Linked DNA regions of Caenorhabditis elegans. The protein of the gene in region 1 interacts with the protein of each later gene in a pairwise test. Each region holds a gene or a part of one and is shown on either strand. Other genes may lie near its edges.

The links.
Region 2: the proteins of parn-1 (region 1) and cyp-13B1 interact in a two-hybrid assay, tested with the Caenorhabditis elegans proteins (one large-scale study listed by BioGRID).

Annotation. Positions count from the first base shown.
Region 1 is NC_003283.11:12,685,504-12,697,722, forward strand, and holds parn-1 (3'-5' exoribonuclease parn-1), read right to left. Parts: upstream 9,753-12,219; 5' UTR 9,752-9,752; coding exon 9,522-9,751; intron 9,328-9,521; coding exon 9,130-9,327; intron 9,081-9,129; coding exon 8,316-9,080; intron 7,688-8,315; coding exon 7,385-7,687; intron 7,338-7,384; coding exon 7,260-7,337; intron 7,210-7,259; coding exon 7,135-7,209; intron 7,090-7,134; coding exon 7,038-7,089; 3' UTR 6,983-7,037; downstream 1-6,982. Other genes in the region: frpr-15 (G-protein coupled receptors family 1 profile domain-containing protein), read left to right, coding at 5,004-5,156, 5,212-5,463, 5,510-5,643, 5,695-5,853, 6,137-6,449, 6,513-6,731, 6,784-6,861; K10C8.4 (uncharacterized protein), read left to right, coding at 10,847-10,874, 10,943-11,058, 11,110-11,253. UniProt on the Caenorhabditis elegans protein: Involved in transcriptome surveillance. Required for piwi-interacting RNAs (piRNAs) 3'-end trimming, which is important for both fertility and piRNA-directed gene silencing. Has 3' to 5' exonuclease activity in vitro.
Region 2 is NC_003284.9:13,404,577-13,416,795, forward strand, and holds cyp-13B1 (Putative cytochrome P450 cyp-13B1), read right to left. Parts: upstream 5,068-12,219; 5' UTR 5,043-5,067; coding exon 4,996-5,042; intron 4,881-4,995; coding exon 4,745-4,880; intron 4,372-4,744; coding exon 4,117-4,371; intron 4,034-4,116; coding exon 3,948-4,033; intron 3,902-3,947; coding exon 3,802-3,901; intron 3,753-3,801; coding exon 3,582-3,752; intron 3,534-3,581; coding exon 3,172-3,533; intron 2,668-3,171; coding exon 2,524-2,667; intron 2,475-2,523; coding exon 2,318-2,474; intron 2,267-2,317; coding exon 2,192-2,266; 3' UTR 2,098-2,191; downstream 1-2,097. Other genes in the region: F02C12.1 (ZZ-type domain-containing protein), read left to right, coding at 1-72, 125-259, 303-416, 463-577, 638-721, 774-1,017, 1,303-1,513, 1,563-1,715; C29F7.1 (CHK kinase-like domain-containing protein), read left to right, coding at 8,052-8,147, 8,204-8,323, 8,573-8,705, 8,751-8,893, 8,939-9,025, 9,073-9,232, 9,276-9,541, 9,738-9,821 and 1 more; C29F7.2 (CHK kinase-like domain-containing protein), read left to right, coding at 11,508-11,603, 11,650-11,769, 12,088-12,219. UniProt on the Caenorhabditis elegans protein: Cytochromes P450 are a group of heme-thiolate monooxygenases. They oxidize a variety of structurally unrelated compounds, including steroids, fatty acids, and xenobiotics. May play a role in the regulation of lifespan.

The DNA.
Region 1 (12,219 bases):
CATACAACCAGAAAACAGGATTTAACTTTTTCTGTAGTACTGACATAAATATTAATATTTTCAAAAAAAGAACAACATGACAATCATAATTGCAAACAACTTGCATTTTGTTCGAAATTTTCCAAAAGTGTTTCTATCATTTTCCTGAAAAATCAAAGAAAAATCGTCCTTTTACATTCTAATTAATGGTAGCTTTCCACCTTTTTTTCTTTTTTGTTTCTGTTTTCCTTTAGTCACTTCTCTCTCGTCTTATTTTATGACGAATGTCTAGGTTTTTCCAGTTTTTCAGCAGGTTCATTTATGTTATTTTTGAAGGCGATATTATTTTCATGCGAGATCTTCGACCATGAGTTAAATTATTCGTATTATGCTCTGTTATTTTTTGTTTTTGTTTTGTAGAAATTCATCGAAGGGTCAACTATTACTGTATAGCGTGTTCCTTTTTTCATGAGAATTGCCGGCAAATTATCCGGCAATTATTTTTATTTTCCGGCAATTTTTGAAACTGTTGTTTTCGTTTCTGTGAGTTGTACCTATAAGTTCAAGAAATTCAAATAGTTGTCATTTTCTAAACTCAATCCCCGTGTTCGTCTGAAAATAAAAAACAATCTGTTGCTTTCTTATTTCGCGAACATAAACGTTTTCTTGTCCGACGTCCAACTTTTGTCCTTCATGTTTTCTATTTTGCTTTCAGGGGTTTAGTGAAGTGACCACTGATTGAATTAATAAAATGAGGAAGTGTAAAAAGATCCCATCTCTAGATTTATCGTATTTATCACATCATTCATGTATCTTTAAAGGTCCTTGGACTTCCTGGGCTTCCTGGACTGGACATTGTAACATCTAAATTTGATACATTTGAATTAAAGCTTATAGGCACCAAAAATTATCAATCTCGTTTTCTTTTCATGAAAAAATTACTACAGCATAATTTTGCAGCACAGCTAACAATCAACAAATTATGATATACAAACTGTATACTAACTTGTAGAAATCTTCCCACATAAAACAATAATGCATTTTCAAAAGTTTTGATGCCTGCAGAATAGAGTTCGCTATTTCTACCTATTGCTCTGATCTCTTCTTATCACGTCTTTATTATGATTTTAAGTGTTCTGTCTGGCGTTCCAACGACAGAGCCCTTAAATTTATTTATCTTAAGAATTATATTCTTTTTTAGATATTTCTAGAAAACTCTATTTTTTTTGTTGATATCCTGAACGCGAGTTCAACAATTGGAAATATATTTTGTTGTACTTGATCTTGAACTGACTTGTAAATTACTATATTTCTAAAGATGTAATTTTTTAAACCATCAAAACAAATGCTTTGAAAGTCTAAGTAGTGTACTAAAGAATGAATCTGAGCAAAAACAATATGCGAGTTCTTTTTCTTCTGCGTTGCAGATTTTTTTTTCGAATTGAAAATTCTTCACACGCAGCGAGAGAGAAAGTTACGTCATCGTAAATACGGAAATCCAATTGAAAATCTTCTGTGAACACTATTTTTCTTCATTTTCCTTAATTTTATTCAGTTGGTCATAAACCTTACCTACCATAACCTTTTTATGATGCTCTTTTTCTTCGGATCGTGAATTTCTGAAAAGTGGTAGCTAAAGTGGTATGTCGTTTTATAGGTTTAGTTTAAGGGTGAACACAACCCATAACAACACTCAAACCACCTGGCTTTTTGAAAAACGGAAAAGCCGGATGGGAGAAGAAGTTTTGGAATTTTTTGCATTCTCCTCGATTTTCGCTATTTTGAGTTATTTTCATGTCCATTTTATTTTTTGATCATTCTTGGAATTATTATGGTTGAATTCTTCACAAAATAGAACCTTTTTCTCAAACATCACGTTTATTAGGTATCCTTAAATCAAAGGTGTGGGGCTATTTTGGTTCGGCCAATGAATTTTCGGCAACTCCGGAAATTATCTATCTAGCTCTAAATTATCTGAAAAGCTCACAAACCTATTTGATAGCTAGGTAAAAGCTCTCAACTTCAAAGGTAGATTTTAATTTAATTTTTTTTTAATGCAGTCTAGGTAATGCGCTAAAATCAAAAATATACCCTACCCTAGATCTAATTAACCTTTTAGTACTTTCACGTTCTAATTTATATTCCTAATTGTAAGTAAAACATTATATTACTTAAAACACCCACAAATTATAAATTGTCAAGTTTTTAGTCTTGTATTGGCAGACGGAAACGTTTTTAAACCTGTCTTTCACTGCAAACTAAACTTTTCAAAACTTTTATCCGACACTCGCAGTCTTTTTTTTCTAGATGAGCTTTTTCACTCAGTGTTTACGGTTTATACGCCTTGTTCTCTCAAGGATAAATACACACAGCTAAACCACAATTTTGCGTAGAGAGCGGAGCACATGTGAATCTAAACGAAGAGGCACAAAAATGTGAAAAGGAACAGAGATTCTTTTTTTTGTTTTCACTTTGAACACGCTGCAATTTTTGTGTCAATTCATTTCAGTCATCTACAATTTGTATTCTTTCTTCCCAGGATTGGGATTTGCTTCCGATAGTTTTCTTACTTCTGCGAAATTTCAGCAAATATTCTTAATTTTTGACGTAATAAATCAGAAAATCTAGATTTCAGGACACAATGCATTTCTTATTCTCTAATACATAATGTTTTATCACCTGAAACACCCACAGCATTGTCAATGTGTTCTGAATAGGATTTGTTGTGAATGTGAACTTCATTTGACTCACAAATTGGAACATTTCAGAAATCTTGTGATATGAGTCAAAATATTAACCATTTTCTGACATGCCTGAAATTAGAGAATTCTGAATTCGACTGTTATTGTGACTTCTGAAAATTGCTTACTTTATAACTTTCAGGAGTCAAACCGTGGGGCTTTCATATGAGGTCTGAATACTGATTTTTTTTGGTCTGAATATAATTATTGTTTTGAAAAATGAAAAAATGATATGTACAATGTTTCTTGTTGGAAACTCAAACTCACTTCAATACAAGAATCATGTTTTTTGTTACGATCATTACATTTTCGAATTTAAGATAGGAGTTTTCAATGTTCAAAAATGAAAATCTAGTAATTTCAAATTTAAGGTAGACTTTCAAGTTGGTGATTTTCAGTAGTCTTACACCTAAATATATTCATTGTATCAAATGCCCTCCTCTTTAAAAAAAATATGATAAGTTGTTCTTCAATCGTACATTTCTTACGTATGTATTCTGTTGCACTAGATTCCAATTTTAGATAAGTAAATATATTTGGAAAATGCGGAAAAGTTTTGTCGTAAAGTCACGTCTCTTATGTGACGTGTTCCACCCATCATTGTTCCAGAAGTATGCACACATTGCAACCTCTTCTTCTTCTCTTGTGCTCTCAATTCAATTAGATCATGTTTGATTGGAAGAGCCCACCCATTTGTTTTCCTTGCTTTTCTACTTCTTGAACACCAGGATTGAGAATGGAATATTTTAACCTCACAATTAGTTCGATTTTAAAAATAGATATTTTTAATAACAAAGAAAGTTTTGAAAAATTCAAAAACAAATCCGGTCTTGAAAAATTCAAATTTCAGATCTGAAGTATTAAATATTGTTTTTTTTAAATATTCATTCACTTCTTTCTTTTTCAAGACTACTTCCTGATTCAATTATTCTATTTGAAAAAGTCTGGCTTCTTCATGAAATTCGCATAATTAGTAAAAAATAAGTGCAAAGACTTAGTGGACAGAAAATAAAAACTATTTATCCACGTTTTTTGCATTCTTAGACTGGAGTGAATCTTCTATGGGCCCGTTCATTTTCTTGTTTTGACCCATTTTTCTCGTTCTCGTCCTCTCACGGAAGATTGTCGTGGAGACCTTCTATAAAAAATGGCAACCAATTTTTTGTGTTTTTTTGGTTCTGCCTAGTTCTTTTATATCTCAAGAATGCTCCATAAAAATACTTTGTAGTTCTTCCAGATTTTAGATAATTTCAGACAAATTTCCTCCGAAACTTTCTCAAAGCAAAACTTCCTCATAGAATGAACTTATTGAAACTGTCTAGAACTTACTGAGAATTCCCATAATCCCTCAATGAGAACAAACATGCTCCTCAAATTTCCATCTGAAATGTTGGATCCCACGCAATAAATATTCAAAAACTATATCGGCAAAGTTCACGAACAGTGTGCATTTGTGCATTCATAAGTGCATTTTGGTGGTGCAAAAAAGTGTTTGTTTTTGTCAATAAAGTTTGTTTTTGTAACTAAAGTGTATTTGCATTCCAAGCACTCAATGGTTTTCTCTTGCGTAATAGTACTCACTTCTCATCTTTTTCTACTTAATCAAAGAAAGACCGAACAATCATTTTACATTCAAAGATCATTTTTTCTTGTTCTCGGTTTGTGGATTTTTGATGATTGTTACGTGGATAATTACCCAAATCTAGGAAAAACTGGAAATATATTCATTTCAACTGACCATATCTATCACATTGTGACACTTTTCCCGATGCATCTTCTATTTTTAGGGTAGTTACAGAATCTAGGTTTAGAAGTTGACTAGTCTCATTCTTCCTAGACAAATTCAATACAGTCTATACAAATATATTTTTTTAACTGCCCATAAGTTATCAGCCGAAATAAAATTGGAACCCCCCCCCCCCTTAAGAGTTCTGCAGATAGAATCCCAACTTTAATAATTTATTGTTGACTCTGAAGCTGATTTTTGATAAATTACTTGTCCTATAGCACTCATTAGGGTTTGAAAGTACAATTAGCCTTAATAAATAATATATCATACCGCGGAAGTGTTTTTCATGAATTGTCTTCTGATCGTATTATTTGCTTACACGACAGGAGCAACAAATAGTTGTCGTCGCAGTGCCCTTTCTTCCCATTGGAGTGTAAGATTTTCTCACCTTTTTTGTAAAACAGATTTTATAGTTGATAAAAATTGTGTTATTATAAGCTGAATATTCTTATTTACATTTGTTAGCATAAATTCATAATTTTTATAATTTTCAGAGTGGCATGTCATTGGACGATGAGTTCAATAAATGTCAAGAAATCGAGTTTACACACGCACAGTTCCTATTTCGATCGTACCTTTTTCCATTTGTCTATTTATTTGGAATCATATCAAACTCCATTAACATATGTGTCTTCTCACAGAAATCTGTAAGTTTCAATTTAATAAGATTAAATATGAAATTTTTTTTTTTATAACTTTCAGATGCGGAATCATACAGTTAATTGGTTTTTCCTAGCACTTTCCTTCTCCGACCTTTTGACACTTGTCGCATCAATCTTCGTGTTCTCAGTTCCAGTTTATGCTGAAAACTCCCACAATCCAGAGTACATCGACTTATCTGTTCAATTGATTGTATGGTTCTACCCACTTGCACAAATTGGACTGACAATGTCTGTTTATGTTACAATTCTTGTTTCAGTACATAGATATCTTGGAGTTTGTCACCCTTTTTTGGTAAGTTCCAAAAAAACAAAGTTGTAAAACAAGTATATATTTGCAGATCCGTCGAATCTCCAATTCAAATGCAGTGAAAGCAGTTATAGTGGCTGCAATTGTTTTTGCATTTGTATTCAATGCGAGTAGATGGTTTGAACTTCATGCTCAGCCATGTTCATTTGGAACTGAAGGACAGACGTACGTGATAATGATTTCTAAGATTTGTCTTCATATTATTTAATTTTCCAGAAACTCGTCTGTTGTTTATCCAACATCTCTGATGATGAATCGTATGTATACTCTTATTTTCCGAAATGCAGCTTATACAATTGTCATGTTCTTCCTACCATTTGCTATTTTAACTTATGTTAATCTTCGAATAATTGCAACACTCAAACAGTCATATAAGTAAGTTACAATTTTTCACAGTTTCAAAACTGATATACCAAATAATCAAAGTTTATCAAATCAAGTAACTGTTCCATGTGGAGTCAGAAAGTCCCATTTCGCTTTGATCTACGAAAAATGCGGGGGGAAGAGACGCAGATATCTCAACTGATTTCGCATGGTTAAGTGTGCTGACGTCACAATTTTTCTGGGAAAAAATTCCCGCATTTTTTGTAGATCAAACCGCGATGAGACTTTCTGACATCGCGTGCTGTTCGCTGAATTAATTTGAAATAATTTTCAGAATGAGAAAAGCGATGACAACATCTCGATCAAAAAGAAGTGATTCTACAGTACCCACTGACACAATCGTTACAAAAATTGATGGATATTCGGCAGTTGTTCCAGTTGAAAACGGAGAAAAAGGAAATGGAATTCTCATGGGTGGAGCTAACAATGGAAGTGTGAAAAATGACAAAAAAGAAAATGGAGTGACTGTAATGCTTGTGGCAATCACAACCGAATTTTTACTCTTCAACCTGATTGCATTTGCCACAAATATTATTGAATTATCAAGTATCAGATTTTTCGCTGATCTAGAAACTCTATTGGTGGAGGTTAGTTACTGGATATAATTTCGAACAACTGTAAAAAATCAAAAAAAATCTTGATGTTTTCAGCTATCAACATTTCTGGTGAACGTCAACGGGGCGTCGACAATTATAATTTATTTAATTTTTGGAAGCAAGTATCGCAATGTGTTCATTCGACTTTTTCGAAAAAATTTGGGGCACAATTTTTGTGGTAAATCCCCAAAACGTCCGATTGGGTATTCTCAAGCTCATTTCGAGACAACTCAACTTCTGGATAATTCCAGATTTGATTTAAATAGAAGCAAGGTGAGAATTCTGAAAATATGCTAACTTTACAATAATATTTTCAATGTTCCAGCAAGCGAGCGTTATTCGAAAATCCGATCTTTCACCTTCCACTCGATCATCTTCCTCGAGAAGACCAACGAATTCATGAAAGTTCGAAACATTCTTAAATATTTGTGCTCTCTAAACCTTTCAAATTACGGGTATTCTCTATCGGGTTAATATATTTTTCAAGTAAACCTTCCCTTCTCTTTGAACTAATTAACATAAAGTTTTCAACATATATTTATGATTGAAAAAAATTGAAATAAACATATGACATTATAGTTATATTTCCATCGCTCTTTGAATCTTGGTGGCTTGGTTTTGAGCTCGGATTCTGAAAAATGTTATTAGATTCATGATTAAAACTGAAACAAAAAACCTTTTCGCATTGATCCCGATTCCAACTCCTCGGTTTTTGAAGCTTCTCCACGCTGTTTGACGCTGTTCGAAGGTCCTGAAAATAAACAAACTTGTAAACTTAACAAAAACCATGTTCAAAATTACCATTTCTTTCCGCTATCCAGCTCATCCAGGGGAGCAAGACTCGAATCGTTCGAGAACTTCTCGCAGAGGAATGCGTATCTGGAAATCGTTCATATAATTAAAGCCATGTACTACTTTAAACATACGAGCCAGGTGAATTGGTGGCCAGGAAGAGTTCCTTCTTGTTTTTCGACCATTCGATGTCGAACTGGTACGTGGCCATGAGAGTTCCCAACGCTTTCTCAAGATATCTGAACTCGTCCTCCTCGATTGCAACACGATCTCTTCGAACTATTGTAATGACATCTGGACGGAATCCTTTGGAATCATCACCGGTCAGGTAGCAGCAGCCAACATCCATAAGTTGGAAGGGGAGACGGTTGAGAATCGGAGCTTCAAGATATTGATAGATTCTATCAAAATCCAAGATTTCGTTCTTGAAGTTGTTCCTGAAATTTAAAAAAAATCCAAAATTTTACATCACTCTTCGAAAAACTCCAAATGAAAGTTACTGTAGTTTGTTTTTTTTTTCAAAAATTTTTATGTTTCAGAATTCCTTGAATTTTCCAAATGTTTAAAATTAACCAAGATCTCTTGCAAGAAGATTTTCGAATTTCCATAAGCTCCCAGTAACTTTTTTCGGTTTTTCAGTAAATTCCAAAAGTTTCTCAAAGTTTTTAGAACTTGTCAGTTTTTCAGACGTTGTTCGAATTTTTACAGAACTTTTCAGAAGCTTTCTGGCCGATTCCCTACTATCACCAATCAAATATTCCTCTAAAAGACAAAAATCAATTTTTCCCGAAGCTACAGTAGTCCTACAGTACTACTTCTACAGTCTACCCCGACCATATCCACCTTATAAGATCAAACCAGCATTCTTTAATAAGACAAAAACTCATTTTTACAAAACTACAGTAATCCTACAGTACTTCTGTCAACGAAAACATGTCGTGTTATCGACTTTTTTGTTTAGGCTTTAAAAAAATTTTTAAGATTTTTTTTAAATTTTTCCGCCCAAATATTTCAAGGTCACAATTGTTTTTTTAATGCTTTATTATAATTTTTAAAAATACTCACCTTCTATTAATATAAATGTGAGCAAGCTTCAAGAAGACTTCTCCGGTGACATAACTATCGAATCCAGCATTATGGTACACGTTCTCTGATTCATCTTCGAGTGGGTTCATCCATGGCTCAATAAACCCACGAAGCTCGGGCGGAACAGTTTTATCGGACTTATCGGAACCGAAATAATCACCGAGATTCTCCAAAGAATCACCGACTCCAGGCAATTCGAAACGAAGAGCTTGAGCAAGAAGCTTCGTGTCCATAATTCTCGGAAACAGTGCATTGAATTTATCTTTGAACATCTGATAATTTGCAGGAAGATGCGAGAAGAAATAATGATACATATACATGGCATCAAGAAGACTGTTGTGGCCAACGACGAGTTTTCCAGTCATATGAACAACTTGCAAGATTGCTGAAACTCCTTTAACTGATTCTGAACAGCGAGCTCTAGCTCTTTCCAGATTGTCCTTTTCCTTGAGGTAATCGTCGGAGATATTTTTCACATGCAAATTTTGTTGTTTTTCGTCACAAGTGAACAGAAATTGCGGGAACGCTTTCGTTAGCTCGTAGATTATCATGTACTTCTCGACACTGCTCAAGTTCCGTGGCATTCGAAGCGAAACAGACGAATTTGGTTTCATTTTCAGTGGAATCTTTTGCATTGGCTCATCGGTACGGTGTGTAATATGATAAGAAGTGGATTGATAGCATTTCTCGTGAACCATGACTTTGAGAAGTTCGATTTGAGATTTGACTTCTCTGCTGAGATAGCTGAAAAATGGATAAATTTATGAAATATACTGAAGAAAATAATCGCCACCTTGCGGCAGTTCCAGCTAAAAGTGCACGTTCGAACTTCTTAAACTCTTTCCTAGTGCAGAACTCCACGCCGTCCATGAAGACTTGATTGAGATTAAACTTGTTCTTGACCAGGAAGCGCATCGACGGCAACGAGATGCTTGTATCATTATCACCAAACCGTTGAAACAGCGGAACTGAGTAAGTGTCGGCTTTGTATCTGTAATAATAAAATTTAATACATTTTTGTCCTTATTCATTATTTATATGAGTTAATAAAAAATAAAAATTTGGAATCTAGCAGAAAATCTTTAATTTCTAATTATTTGTAATCTCAATTATCTCAAGACAGGGGAAACATATCTGAATGACAGCAACTCTCTCCTTCTGAAACTTTAAAACAATTTTACTCACGCTCGATTTGACTTCTGCTTGAATAAGGTCAGTCCTAGCTGGCATGGACGATACTTGATGACATTGTCACGAAGAATTTGATAGCGACTTTCAACAGTGTCATGAAGAGAAATGGCCGACACATCGAGACCGAGAAATTCGAAGTCGATGGCGACAAAATCACAGTAGAGAAGTCCTTTGCGCAAAGTACCTGCAGCATCCAGGAAGTTTGAGTCGGTGACGATAACCATCCTGCAAAATAAAATAATTAAAAATGACAACGACGTCGATAAAGCGATGAGAAGAGAAATAGATTCGCAAGGTAGATTCAAAAATTGTAAAACTTGCGTTAGGGTTAGGTAAGCAAAATGATTTTCAAAAATCATATATCGATTGATAGAAAATAATATTTCAAAATTTTGTGAGATGGTGCAAAAATAGGGTAATTAAATATGCTGACACGTCTTTTCTGAATTTCTTGTCTTTCAGTACACGAATTTTCTTTGCGGTGCTTTCTGAAATTTGTTTTAATAAAAATTAACATTAGAAAAAATGCGGCTGTGAAAAATCAGGGAGGATATTTATTCCCTATTGATCCCAAACACTTGACTCTTGGGAATAAATTGGAACTTTCCCTCATATTTTATTGTGTTTAATAAAACTGTGGATATGTAATATGACAGCGGTGTACCACATTCATATGAATTCATCCCATACGTGGTATGCTAACCCAGATTACTGTACTTGTTCGTCCAATTCGACCGCTCAACTTTCTTGGTTAAAACGGATACGTGTAGACCGAGTTGATGTGTTCGAATTGACAAATTAACTTTTCGGGTTTTAAACTCGGCTTTCATCAAATCTTCGAAGCTACTCCATTTGTTCCGAACCTAGTGTGCATGAGCGATGAAGCGGAACGATGAATTAAATGGCTCATTTGTGTTCAACTATAGTACCTAACCCAAGAGCATGCAAAACATCCCAGTTTATCTAGAACATAAATGTAGTCCATATAAATCTATCTCTCCGTATTCCTTTTTCATTTTTCATATCTGCATATTTTTATACACACATGGCGAGCCTACGTGTGAGGGTATGGCTCAGATGGACGAGGAAGAACAGTAGAAGCAGGAGAAGAAAAAGGCGAAAAGAAGAAGAAGAGGCGCTGTCTCTATTTTCCTCAGCCGCCTTTTTCTTCATTTCTTTTCTCTTTTCTCCATCTTTTCTCCCGGTTTTCAGACGCATCTAAATTGGTTTGTTGTAGCTTGTTGTGCCTGTCGTCCTTGCACAAAATATTCCCAAATATTCACATACACATTCACTCACCTGCACAATTATTCCTCTCGATGAAGAGATTCGTAGAACTTTTTGAGAGTGAGTCATTCTAGATGTTATTTAGGAGCAAAAATATAAAATCTCCTCATTAATCAAACAAAATTCAGTTGTCGCTTCTTACGCTGACATTGGAACAGATGTGCCCGACGAAAAACCATTACTTCCAATGGAAACTGTTTTTCTAGCAATTCTTCTTATAATCTTCTACTATAAGCTTTTTATCGTAAGTAATTTGAAAAGAAAAGAACGTTTTGATAAAATAATCGATGTTCAGACTATCGGCTGCTCAATTTTCGAATGGATTTACTCGACGGAACTACAAAATCAATTCTCAAAAACCCTGGCTCTTGAAGATGATGATTTTCAACAGCCAGAGTTCATACGACACGTGAAAAAATCGAATTGTTCCCGAAAGTAGACAAGTAATTGTTGAAGATCCCGATTTTTGTCCGGGAGAATGAATAATTCTAAGAATTATTCAAAAACATACACTTTATGGGTCAAATAAACTGTTTTGTTTTAAAATAATAAAAAAATCAAGCAAAATATGAAAAGAAAATAAGAAAAACAACGAAAAACAAGATCTGATCGAGAGAAAGAAAACGAGAGGAAGTACTGTGTCAAAGGGACATATCCTTATGTATATGATTGGTCTCACCACGATTTCAGCTGCTACGGTAGATTGTTTTCGAATTTTAATTGATTTTTGCTTTTTTTTTTCATTTTTTTAATACTTATTTTTACAGAATTGCGATGTTTTTTTTTTACTTCCAGAGTTTTTTTTTCTCAAACAGTAAAATATTTAATACAAAGCATTCTGTGTTTATTTGAAGAATTCGCAATAATCTTGCGGGAGTACTGGGCCTCTGTGCAGTAATATAATTTTTTAAATTTTTATGTAAAGAAAAATACGTTTTTTAAAAATAAATTTACTGGGAAAAAATTCGATTTCCGAAATTCTCGATCCAAAAAATGTAAAACTAAGATTGACAATGGCTACTTTAATTATTCTTTTGAGTTCTCCGAGATAATTTTAACAGTTTTTACATCAATTCATTTGAAATTATATTATTTCGACTATCATGTATATTTTTAATTTCATTTTTTTTCGTTCAAATTCAGAAAATGTTCGCTAAAAGTCTGCCTCTTTTCTTCTAATTTTGCCCAAAGAAACAATGTTGGAAACGCGCTCCACGGAACATTATTCCTTCCATTTGTTTTGTTTGTGATCATGAGATGCATTCACCACACCATTTTAAGCAATATAAAATATTTTATGCTTATGTAAATCTTCAAATCTTCAATTTCATTTTTTAGAAATTCGTGAGCATTCAATCTCTCGAATTTCTGCGTCGATTAGAATATCTCGTAATCATTGCGAAAT
Region 2 (12,219 bases), on another chromosome or scaffold:
CGAGAGAACTTTGTAGATTGGCTCGCGGTGGCAGCGTCGCTTGCCTCCTTTGGTGCAATTGGTGGATCTGCGGTTCGTTTTTTTTAAATGATTTTCAAACTAGCGTAGTACAACTTTTTTTCAGTACCTCACAGTAATGACTACACAAGGACTTGAAGTCAGTCAAGCCATTGAATATACAGTAAATGCAGCAATTTTCGCAAATTTCGCTGTATCTGGAATTGCCTTGACTGCATCTGGATACAACATTTTTGAGAAGGTATGCCTTTTGCAATTATTCCAAAACATTTCCGAGCTTTTAGGTAGCAAATGGAGAGCGTCCAACCCCGTTGGAACTCTTCCAATTCTCCACCAGTTTACTATTCTTCACAAACGCAGCAGTTAACTTGCAAACTGCTGAAAAGCTAATTCAACAAGTAAGTTTGAATTTTTTATACAGAAAAAGTTCATACGATTTTTCAGACAACTCAAGAAAAAATCAACGATTATCGAGATACCCTGAAGACTGCTGAAGATAAACAACAATTTGATCAAAAAATCAATGAAAACATGAAAAATACTGAAGGTCAACAAGGAAGTAAGCTTGGTTTTCCTGTTAAATCATTGGATTTTTGATTCTATCTTAACATATATTCAGATTCAAAGATGAAGGCAAATTTGGAGACCATTAAAGACATTCACAAGGCTATGCTTGCTGATAAACATGTTGAAGCTCACATTCGTAAGTTGAAATTCAAAAAAAAAAGTTCCATAAAATTTGACAAAACAATCAGATGAACACGACGTTCCAAAAAAATCAAAACCAATGCCATCTTCAAGTGTTCCAAAAATGCAAGCAAAGCAGCTGACAGTTTCCGATAAGAAGATTGTAGAGGAACACTTGCAAGCACTGGATGCCCGAGGTCAATCCAAGTTGCCGGCTAGCAAACAAAAAATTACAACGTACTTGAATGTTGGATGGGATGATATTGCCGCGAAGGTTAAAGCGATTTTGTCCGGAGGCGCCGGTGGGGCTCTGTGAGTGTTTCGTATTTTTTACAAAACTATTATATATGCCTAACTTGTTGCTCGGAAGTTACGCAATCATTCGAATAAAACTGTTGAAAACAAATTCTGCAGGATTACCATTTACTAAAACATTCGGTAACATATTTTCATTATGCACATGCGTTGTTTGTAGATGTTGCGCCTATTTCTTACAGTTTTCGAAAACTTTCTGCTGATATCTTGGAATTGCTAATGCATCTCAGATATAAGATTATTTACTAAAGTAACATCAATTCATAATATTTACACTTTCAGCACCGAAAGGCTCATCGATGGCAAAACCAAAAAAGTGATCACGATGGATAATGGTGATGAAGGATTTATGGGTGCAAAGGTGGAGTCGATACCAAATGGAGTAGCAATACGAAAAGGTGTCATTGATAGAATTGAAATCACATTAAACGATGCAGGTGAACCTATTCCCCATTTTGTGGAAGGAAGTATCCGAACTGGAACAGAACAAGGAGTGGGTTATCGCTTGAAAATTTAGCAAAGAAAAAGTTTAAAACTTTCAGGTTGTGAGAATTCGTCTCGAAAATCGCGGAATCTTGGGAAATATACGTGCAAAACCAAAAGTACGAATGTACAAAGACAATTCGTCAACGGGAGTCGAAATTGATGATCATGAACTATCGGAAAATTATTTTATGTGTTACGATTGGTCATAATATGTGATTTTGGTGCCTGTAGCTCTTTTAAAAATGCGTGTCCTACTAGCTAAATCAATTCGAATAACTGTGGTAATTTTTTTCAGTTAAAAAAATCTGCTGTAATAAACTTGTTCACAAAACATTCCATAGCCGAGAGATTTACATAAATTTTTTGGCAACTTGTATCATTGTCAAAAAAGCGTATTTCATAAAATCACACAGTGTTCGGTGTACGTCTAGATACTGAATTAAAATTCCTGGTCTCTAAAAAAATTCCATGCTTGTATAAACTGTAAGCGGAATCACTTATTTTCACCGACGTTTGCCAAAAGTTTCCAATAGCCGCGCAGCTCTGGTTTTTAGACTATCACAAAAAAATCTGTTAACATTAACAATATGTAGAATCAATAACAATTTTGTTTTAAAAAATCACCACAATAAATTTATATTACAAGTAATGGTCGAGTATAATAAACGGTTTAATTTCACGAAATTTAAATTCTCGGCTTCAAGTACAACGTAACAGCTTCTGGCGATGTAGTTGTGCAACCAAGAATGTTCAACTCTTTCTGAATTTGAGAACTCTTAAATATAAAAAAAAAACGAAGTGTTAACCGTACCTCAGTTTCTACTCCTGCGACTAAATCATATCTTCGAAGCAAATGAGCCAATGCAGTCTTTGCTTCGGAAAGTCCTAAACGCATTCCAACACATTGACGGGGTCCTGCTCCAAACGGTATCCAAGACATGGTATGTCGGGATGAAGGCTCGAGCCATCTGAATTTTTTTGTTTTTTGAAAATAATTAAAATATTTTAGCAGGTTACCTTTCTGGAACAAAATCATCCGCGTTTTCACCCCAGATTTCCTTGCTTCTATGAAGTGACATAACATCTGCTTCAATTTTCACACCCTTATCAATGTAAATATCACCAAGTGTGGTAGGCTTCACGCATTCCCGGGAGCAGGCGCTGAAAGTTCAAAACTATTTGGTTTCCATCTTTTAAAAAAAAAAAATTCCGTGTTTTGTATAGTTTTACTTTATTAACTTTATGATCAAATATTTTTATAAAACTTAATTCAATAAAACCAATTAAAAATGCATTATCAGAAATGCATATTAAGATGGGAAGTGAGATTTTTCTATTGGCTGATTTCCATGTAATGGCTCAATCAAGATCAATCAAGGACAAAATCAATTTAAATTTCAAAGCGGAATAGCACCGGTGGAGATTTTGTCTAAGTACACGTTTTTTTTAATGAAGTTGCCTTTTTTAGTAGACCTCTTTGAAAAAGTTATATTTTGTATTGTCAATCAAAGTTCTTGTGAGTTTCCAAATTTATCTTTTTTTTTTGAAAAATTAAAAAAAGAAATCAGCATATTTGAACCCATAAACTATGAACAAAAAAACTCTTCTCTACATCTAACAGTTTTTCTTGTAGTTCCCACTTATTCAACTCGATAGAAAACTCACAACCAAGCGACTGGATACAATCTTAATGATTCTCTTACAACTGCATCTAAATACTTCAACTTTGTCATATCATCATAGGATACATTTTCAGATCCCACAACGGTATCAACTTCTTCTTGAGCCAATTTCATCTTCTCCGGGTGTTTTGCCAATAAATAAGATGCGTAAGCCAATGAGTTTGCAGTCGTATCAAAACCAGCAAGTAGAAACACGAAACACGCTCCAATAACATCTTCAGCTGTGACCTTTTTCTCTACAGTACTACCAAATTCAATATCTTCAACTTGTTCACTATAATAGTTAAGGAACATATCGATGAAGTCGTTTTCCGCGTTTTCAAATCCAAGTTTTGCATTTTCCTCCTGAAATTTATTTAATTTATTCCTTAAAAAAATAAAAAGATGACTCACTCTTTCTTGAATTCTACTTTCGACAGTTTTTTTGCAAATAAGCAACAATTTTTCAATATCTCCACCCTGGACAGCTGCGTGATTGTAGAACATTCGTTTTACCAAGTGTTCAAATTGAGGAAACAAGACTGTAAAATACCATGGCAGAACTCGGTGTGTCCTCATGAAAATCTATAACAATTATAACTTCGAATACTTTTAATTTTGGAAAAAGACTTACCGATTTAACGATTTCAACTCCAGAATTATTGAAAAGTTCAGAATTTGGTTGCCCCATAGCAAGTCTTGAAATAACATCATACGTGAATTCTTGGAAATATCTGAAAACCGGAAAGATAAAAATTAGAATTGATTCAATTTTCTTACGCGTGAATGTTGAATGGTTTTCCATCTTCGTGTTTTGCCATTAAGTCAACCATGTTGATAGCACTGTCTTCCATAACATCGTGAACCTAAAAAACAACAGGATGGTGATATTTCATCATAGAAGCTATTCTTGTAACTTGTCTAAAAATTCTAGTACGTGAAAATATACCTGCTTTAAAGCTTTCACCGAAAACCCTGGCGATGCCAAAGCTCTCAAGCGCTTCCATCGAGCTCCTCTTGAAGTGAACAAATTTATTCTTGGTTCGGACTTTGAGCATTCCAAGTTTCCATGAATATGATTTGTGGATTTCCTTGCGTAGAAATTGTCGAACTTCTTAAGGAACAATTCTTGTAGCATATCCATGTCGGACACGACTAACACTGGAACAGCCCCCTCGTAGTAGCCAAAAACTTTTCCAAATTTCTAAAAAAAAAAGAAGATTAGGATTAGATACATGAAGACTTATACTAGCATTTCAATTATTTACAACACCTCTGCAAATTGATTTTCTGCAGATGTATTTTTAAAATCACCATGCGTTTTCATCTTCAGGGGAATTATTTCTTCACTAGAATTCCATTTTATACTCATCTTCTCAAACATGGTAGGTGTCTAGGTAGATGTTCAGAAGCTTTTTTTTAAATTCTACAAATACTAGTTGCAAACTGGTGCAGGAAAAAGTAGCAGATAAATATGAACACGCATTTTCCTAGTTCAATGAAATTTGGATTTGGACAACAATCATCATTGAGACCCGTTTTGATTTAAAAACAACTTTTGGTGAAAAACAACGAACCTGTGTCCATTTATGAATAAGATATCCTCTTGGTTTGTTAACATCCGCTAGGTCATAATAATTTCCGATAAAAGGCAGACCTTCCGGTCCACTTATTCCACGTCTTCTCCAGTATGTGTGTATCCATTTGAAGTAACTAAAACGAAAATTTCGTTTAGAATTTGTTATAAAAATTGTCTATTCTATATAAAGTTATAGGAAACATTCGAACGAGTTTCTTTTTTCTAATTTTTTGAGATAAAAATTAATACCCAGCAATAGTAGCAAATAGCACCACCAGCACAATAATAGCTCCCATCGCTACGACGTAGACTGAAGACAATAATTCTGTTAGGGTGATCCGTTATTTATACACCCGTCCCCTCAATAAAGGTCAGCGCCGCCTGTAATATTGTTATCGTCAAGATCAGCAAATTAAACAGGAGGCTACGCGTAAGAAACCAGAAAACGTTAATTGTGGTGGTTGTGTAGCCTAATTATAGTTTTTCCTATCGGGAGGAATATGATAAATGATATTTTGTCCTTTTGCTCACTAAGTTTAATCAATGTTTCAAAACAGCAATGTTGTAGCATTATTTTATGATTTCTGATCAAGTAAAAAGACTTGTTTTCAGTTTTAATTTGCCTCGTGGCTGTGAAATTGAATGTTTTTGCCGTTTTATTGCGCTGGAGGCGTTAAAAGGAATTTTTTGGGAATAACAATGTAAGTTATTAGGTCTCCAAATAAGTTCCGGGTCAAAAATCATAACTTTGTTCGCTGCGTATCGATTTTTATGAAACTTTGGGAATTTATGTTATCAACCATGATCTTTCAATTGACAATAGTCACAAAATTTTTTGACCATAGGAAGTGTCCTAACTCGGAGCCAATTTTTTCAGACATTTTTCTGATCTCGCTTCTTTTCAGCTTTGAATTGAAGTTTGTGTGCAAATTTTGCTTTGTTCAAAATACATCATTAGAAAACGACAAAAGTTTGGAAAAAAATTCGTCCAAAAAATTTTTTTTTGGTTGATCGTCAAAAAATCTTCAAAAAAATTTTTGTCGAAAATTCTCGATTTTTCATACAAAAATGATGTAACCAAGTGTAAATTATTTTTATACATACAAAATATATCAATTTAGTTCGATACACTAAAATGATAATAGAAAATATAATTTTTTCGGATAATTTTTGAGTTTTTTGAATATTTCTTAAGTTTCAAATTTCAAACTAGAGGGATTTGCAACATTTTTTGTATGTTACAACATTTTTGTATGAAAAATCTAGAATTTTCGACAAAAATTTTTTTGAAGCTTTGTTGACGATCAACCAAAAAGAATTTTTTGGACGGATTTTTTTCCAAACTTTTGTCGTTTTCTAATGATGTATTTTAAACAAAGCAAAATCCGCACAAATTTCAAATTTCTTGAGGAACAGTTCTTGTAGAATATCCAAATCGGATACAACTAGCACTGGAACAGCTCCTTCGTAGTAGCCAAAGACTTTCCCAAACGTCTGAAACCCAGGTGGTTAAATAGCAAATAAGATTTTAATGTTCCCTGAGGATTTCAAATGAAGACTACTGAATTTTAAAACAAAATTATGAATCCACAAAAATAAACTTGAAAGCTTTACAAAAATATCGTTTTTGAGCGTTTTTTTTCAATGTTTCTTTAAATGTTTTTTATACATATACTCCATTAAAAACACAAACCTGTGTCCATTTATGAATAAGATATCCTCTTGGCCTGTTAACATCCGCCAGCTCGTAATAATTTCCGATAAAAGGCAAACCTGCCGGTCCACTTATTCCACGTCTTTTCCAGTATGTGTGTATCCATTTGAAGTAACTGAAAAATTTTAAGTGGTTTAAGTTAAATTAAATACATGTATAGTCTAACAATTTTTTCATTTATTTCCCAATTTCAGATATTTGCCTTGCAACAGTGACAAATAGCACAACCAGCACAATAACAGCTCCCATTATTGAAAAGTAACTTTAAGTTCATACCTTTCTTAGAGTGACTCTCTATTTATACTCTCCTTCCTAATAAAGGTCCACGCCTCATACAATAGGGTGATCGCCTAGATCAGCAAATTAGTCAAATGGATAGAAAACTAGACTCTACGTCTATTCGTTTTGAAAACTGTAGTGATTTGTAGTTTAAATGTTGTCAATGCAGACATAGAGAAGTAGTGCGATCTTTCGGACTCTTGTTCAGTGATCTTTATAAATACTACACACCGGCAATAGTGTAGCATTTTTTTATGATTTCTGACGAAGAACGCTTAATATTTGTCAGATGTTTTTGAGTTGATGATTGTGGAATAGAAAGGTTTTGTCACAAAACGGTAATTTTTTATTCATATCTTCTCTTTCTATAAGTTTTGCGTTCCTTTCAGATTTGCACACAAAACGACTAATCGAAAACACATGGCAGTTTCCCACTCATTACTCGCAAGAGACACAGCGAAAATGTTGCACAATTTCAGAAAAACATTTTTTTCGATGTTCTTCTAAAAAGTCACTATTTACGTAATGGTCTATTTACATGTATTCAACCATGTTTTCAAATAATTCCAAAGTTGGTTGCGGGACGTTCCATCCCTTTTACCATTTTATTGAAATGGCTTGATAAAAACAGTAATTAAAAAATATATACAGGCATATTTCGAGTGTTTGCCTACTGCTTTTTTTTTAAATGTCGGTTTTAAGTTTATTAAATTTTACAAAAAAACTGGAGCAAAGCGATACTGTTAATCAGAAAAAAAGCCCAAATGGTTAGTTGATAGAAATTTATTTTTTAACGTCATTCCATAAAATAAACAAAAAAAACAACTTACGGCTAGAATTTTTTTGAAGCACACTGTACATTCATTTCAAAATGTTCTATTAAATGTTTTGCGGACTAAAACTTTATTTTCAGAAAAAACATGTCGACGGTTTTTATCTGTTTTCAGAACAGAAGGATTATCAGAATGGGATTCTATAAAGTGTTGGTAACTTACAGATTACTGACTAGTTACGTTTTTTTATGATGTACATTGTTCAGCAGCTTCTTGTGTTCAATTTGTTTTTGTTTTTATGTTGAATGTAGTTTTCGCCATAAACTACACGGTTTTAATGCAAAATTTATGTTTAAAAAATGTGCATCGCCGTTTTTAAAATAACTGTATCAATTGGAGCACATGTCACTTTTAGATAATTATTGAGCACAGTTGTGTTATCAGTTCATTAGTGGTACATGGTGAATTATTCACATAAAAAGGAGAAACATCATTGTAACTTCAAGCTGAAATCGTGGTAATTTCTTCTGCTGAAAACTATGTCCAATCTTATAATTGACAACTATCCGCTAACAAAAGAATGGCTTGCTGATCTGGTGAAAAAGAAAATTGGTGTTAAGCCAAAAGTTGGATCGGTATGTTTGCTGTTTTTCAAGTCACTTAGAATTTTTTTTTCATAATTGTTATTCAGTGCGGAATTTTGGACAATGCAGATTTGGGATTCATGTCAATGATTCGTAAAGTACAGCTGCATTTTGATGCTGAACAAGAGCTAAAACACCCAAACCTGCCGAAAAATGTAGTGATAAAGGTGAGAGCTAATATTAAAAGCTTGCAAGATAATTTAAAATTAATATAGAAATAGTCAGCTTTTTAGTTTTTTTTTAAATTTATATTGTGTTTCTAATGATTTATGCTGTGCTCTATAATGTTTTTTATGTAATTTAAAAAAATTAAAACTTGAACTATTTCTGCATTTTTGACTTTAAAAAATAATTTCTAAACCTAAAAATAAAAATAGTTCAGTTTAAAAATAGTAGCCAGACGTCGCTAATTTTAGATTGCGAGTTGTGCAAAGCTGGGTGAAGGTGTTGGTAGTGTGGGTGTAGATGTTAACAAAGGCAACGCGGCTGCAATCATGGAACTGTTCATGCACAACACAGAATGCAATTACTATAATGTTTTCAGAAAATGTAAATGCGTTCTGGTTTCGAAAGTATTTACATCAAAATTTTCAGACACTGATCTACCAATGAAAGTTCCCGTAATCTACTGTGCAGCAAAAGCCGGTGACGCAGAAGCTCCTGTACCAGTTATTGTAATGGAAATGTTTGAGGACTGTACTGTTCATGATCTTATAGACGGTTTTGATAAAGATCAGGTAAACCTGAGGGCATAATTTGTTTTATCATTTATGTTCTTATAGCTTTTTAAAATTGTTGATGAAATTGTTAACCTACACATTTTCTCCTTGACAACTGAAGAATGGAGGAGCGTTCTTCCTGATTCTGCGGTAAGTTGAACTTATTGAAAAAGTTTTTTTAGAACTTTTTTATTTAGATGCGTGATACCGTTGATCTTTTCGAGGCGATGGTCAAAACCATTGCAGAGAACATGGCAAAATCGCCTGGCTTAGAAATCATTTCAAAATACATTGAGAAAACTTTTGACAAGGATCCAAGTTTTATGACAAAATTCAGTGATGAATATTTGGAAGGAAGTACGACAATATATTTTTTTTAAAATTTTTTAATTTTTTTCAGAAAGAAAATCCGTCCTGACTCACGGAGATCTATGGTCTCCCCAAATTTTGTGGGATAAGGATGACAATATTGCGGGAATTATTGACTGGCAAGTTGGTCATCAGGGAAGTCCCATGGAAGATCTCCATAGAATTTTGTCGACTGGTACCAGTGTAGAAAATAGGAACAAGTTGACTAAACCACTGTTGGATCATTATTTTGAAAAATTGAGCGCTGGGTTGGAAGAGAAGGGTGTGAAAATGCCATGGACCAGGGAAGAAGTTGATGTAAGTATGTACTTGAGCTGACTAAACTGGATCAGTCGATTTTTAATTTTTATTTTTTGGGCAGTAAGTTATTTTTTTGTTGTAAGACATGGATAAGTATGGAAAATTTAATTAAAAAGAAAAATTCTTCGCGGTTTCCAGTTTGATCAAAATTTGTGATTGACAAAATATGTTACACAATTTATAATTTTTCCAGGAAGAGTACAACCACTGTTTCAGTTATGGTGCATCGATAACTATATTTTCAAATGGAATCTGGTCTAGCTCTCCAATTCTTCAGGTTTTTTTTTTGAAAATTCATCATTAACCATCAATATAAAACAATTCAGACCGATGGAAAACCTGACCCAGCACGTATTAGTGAATCATTTGCGAGATGCCAATCTTATGTTGAGGAAGCTGTTCAAGTACTTGGTGTGGAATAATACATGTACATTGATAATTACTGAAGTATTCACCTTATTTGGAAATTATATATATGAAAAACTTTTTACCTTTTTAAAATATCAGACTACATACAAGTATATGTTTCCAAAAATAGTAGAAATTTCGCTGAATTAATTACATAAGTTAATGTTTCAGTTCAGTTCACCACATTTTGATCAAACGTGTCGTCGGTACACATGATGTCATCACTTAATCACAAACTCCAAATGTGGTGAGAAGGACAAGTACTTTATGATTCTAATTTGACATGGCAGTGCGAAAAAATATTTATTGAAAACAACAAGATCGACTAAAATGTCTGAAACAATTTACAGATTGTTCATAAAAAAATCTCTATCAACTATGTATACTGTTATATCAACAGTAATTTCAATTACCGTTTGTTCAATTTAACCTACAAACTGTGATGTCAGAAACCAGAATTTCTAGATGAAAAAAAAACATATCAATGAATTTTACAGTTTTTCACGTTGGCTGGGAACTGGCCTGGAACATTCGGATGACACTGAATTTTGGTGCACTGTGTTATTTTTTTTAATAATTATTCAAAAAATTTGCCGCCAGCAGGGGTCGAACCTGCGACCTTGGGCTTATTAGACCCACGCTCTAACCGACTGAGCTATGGCGGCTGATGGAAGTGGCACTAGGTTAGGCCACCAAGAAGAATGGGAGACGAGAAAACGGGACAAAATGTGTACTTTGTGGTTTTTCAATAGGGTACATCGTTCTGCAAAAAAGCGGAAATTGATAATGTGAAATTTTGTGATATTAGAATTGTGAAAATTATGCTAAAGTCGCTTATTCCTAGAATATAATCGCTTCACAAGTCATAAAATATTAAATTGCAAAAGCTAGACTGTGCCCAACGTACACTACGAATATTTGTTGTTTACAAAATGCTTATGACATGACCAGCCGGCTTTTGATAAATCTGCTAAAAGGACTTATGAACTTAAACATTGAACACAATCTCAGAGAAATGTAAAAACATGACAAAAAAACAAGTGTACAGTGTTCAAAAGGGATAAAAAATTAAAATTCTTATGTCAAAATGGGCATATTCAGTTTTTTCAAAATTTTGAAGCTATTTGATTTTCATTTCCCACATCGAAAAATTCACAATGCATTAAATTTTTACTTTGATGCAATTTTCTGTGGATCCCTGCCACAGCACACCATACCAATTAGCATACCAAAATGAGATAAATCGAATTCCATATTTTTATCGCACTCAAACTATCAGTGAAAATACAAAAAGTACAATTTATTTTCTTATATTATCTATTGGTGCACACATATACTACAACGAAGTAGGTCACGAGCATCTTCCGAACCAGTATCACTATCTTATCAACTCAGTCCTAGGCTGGTTGTTTTATATAAAATGCACGTTGAGCACCGAAATGTATACAGTTTATTATGTATGGCCTATTATTGACTTTTTTGAGTTATTTCTGTTTCTTTGTTTTTTTTAAATTTTGCTTCAACATTGATATAAATTCACAATTTGCAGTTGAAAATGACCGATTTAATCATTGAAAATATTCCACTTACCAAGGAATGGCTTGCCGAAATTATCGAGAAGAAAATTGGGGTAAAACCGAAAATTGGAACCGTAAGTTGGATTTGTAACATGTTAAAAAATATTTTAGAGTTTACAGAGTGGAATTTTGGACAACTCGGAGTTAGGGTACATGTCAATGATTCGTAAAGTACAACTTCATTTTGATGCGGAGCACGAGGAGAGCCACCCAAATTTACCGAAACACGTGGTTCTGAAGGTATGTATTAATTTATATTTAAAAAAAACAATTTAAAATGTTTAATGTAATTTTTAAAATAAAATAAAATTGTTCTTCCAAATCCGAATAGCACTGGACGCCATATTTCCAATTTAGTCTGGTTTCCAGTCTTTGCCTAATAACATCTAAGAAGTATCAGATATTACCGTATTTTATATATAAGTAGGACACTTCTATCATTAATACTCTAGCAACTTAATATGTGTCATAAGATAAGTATTGCATGTTTTACTAATAGAGAAATACCGTTAAAACACTGGCTTGACCAGTAAATTCTGTAAAGATAACATGTTCTAGATTGCATGCAGCTCAAAAGGAACTGGAGTTCTCGATAGTGCTGGTGCAGATATGACTGAAACTGACCACTCTGCTAATGTTGAACTGTTTATGCATAACACTGAGTGTAACTACTACAAAATTTTTGCGAAG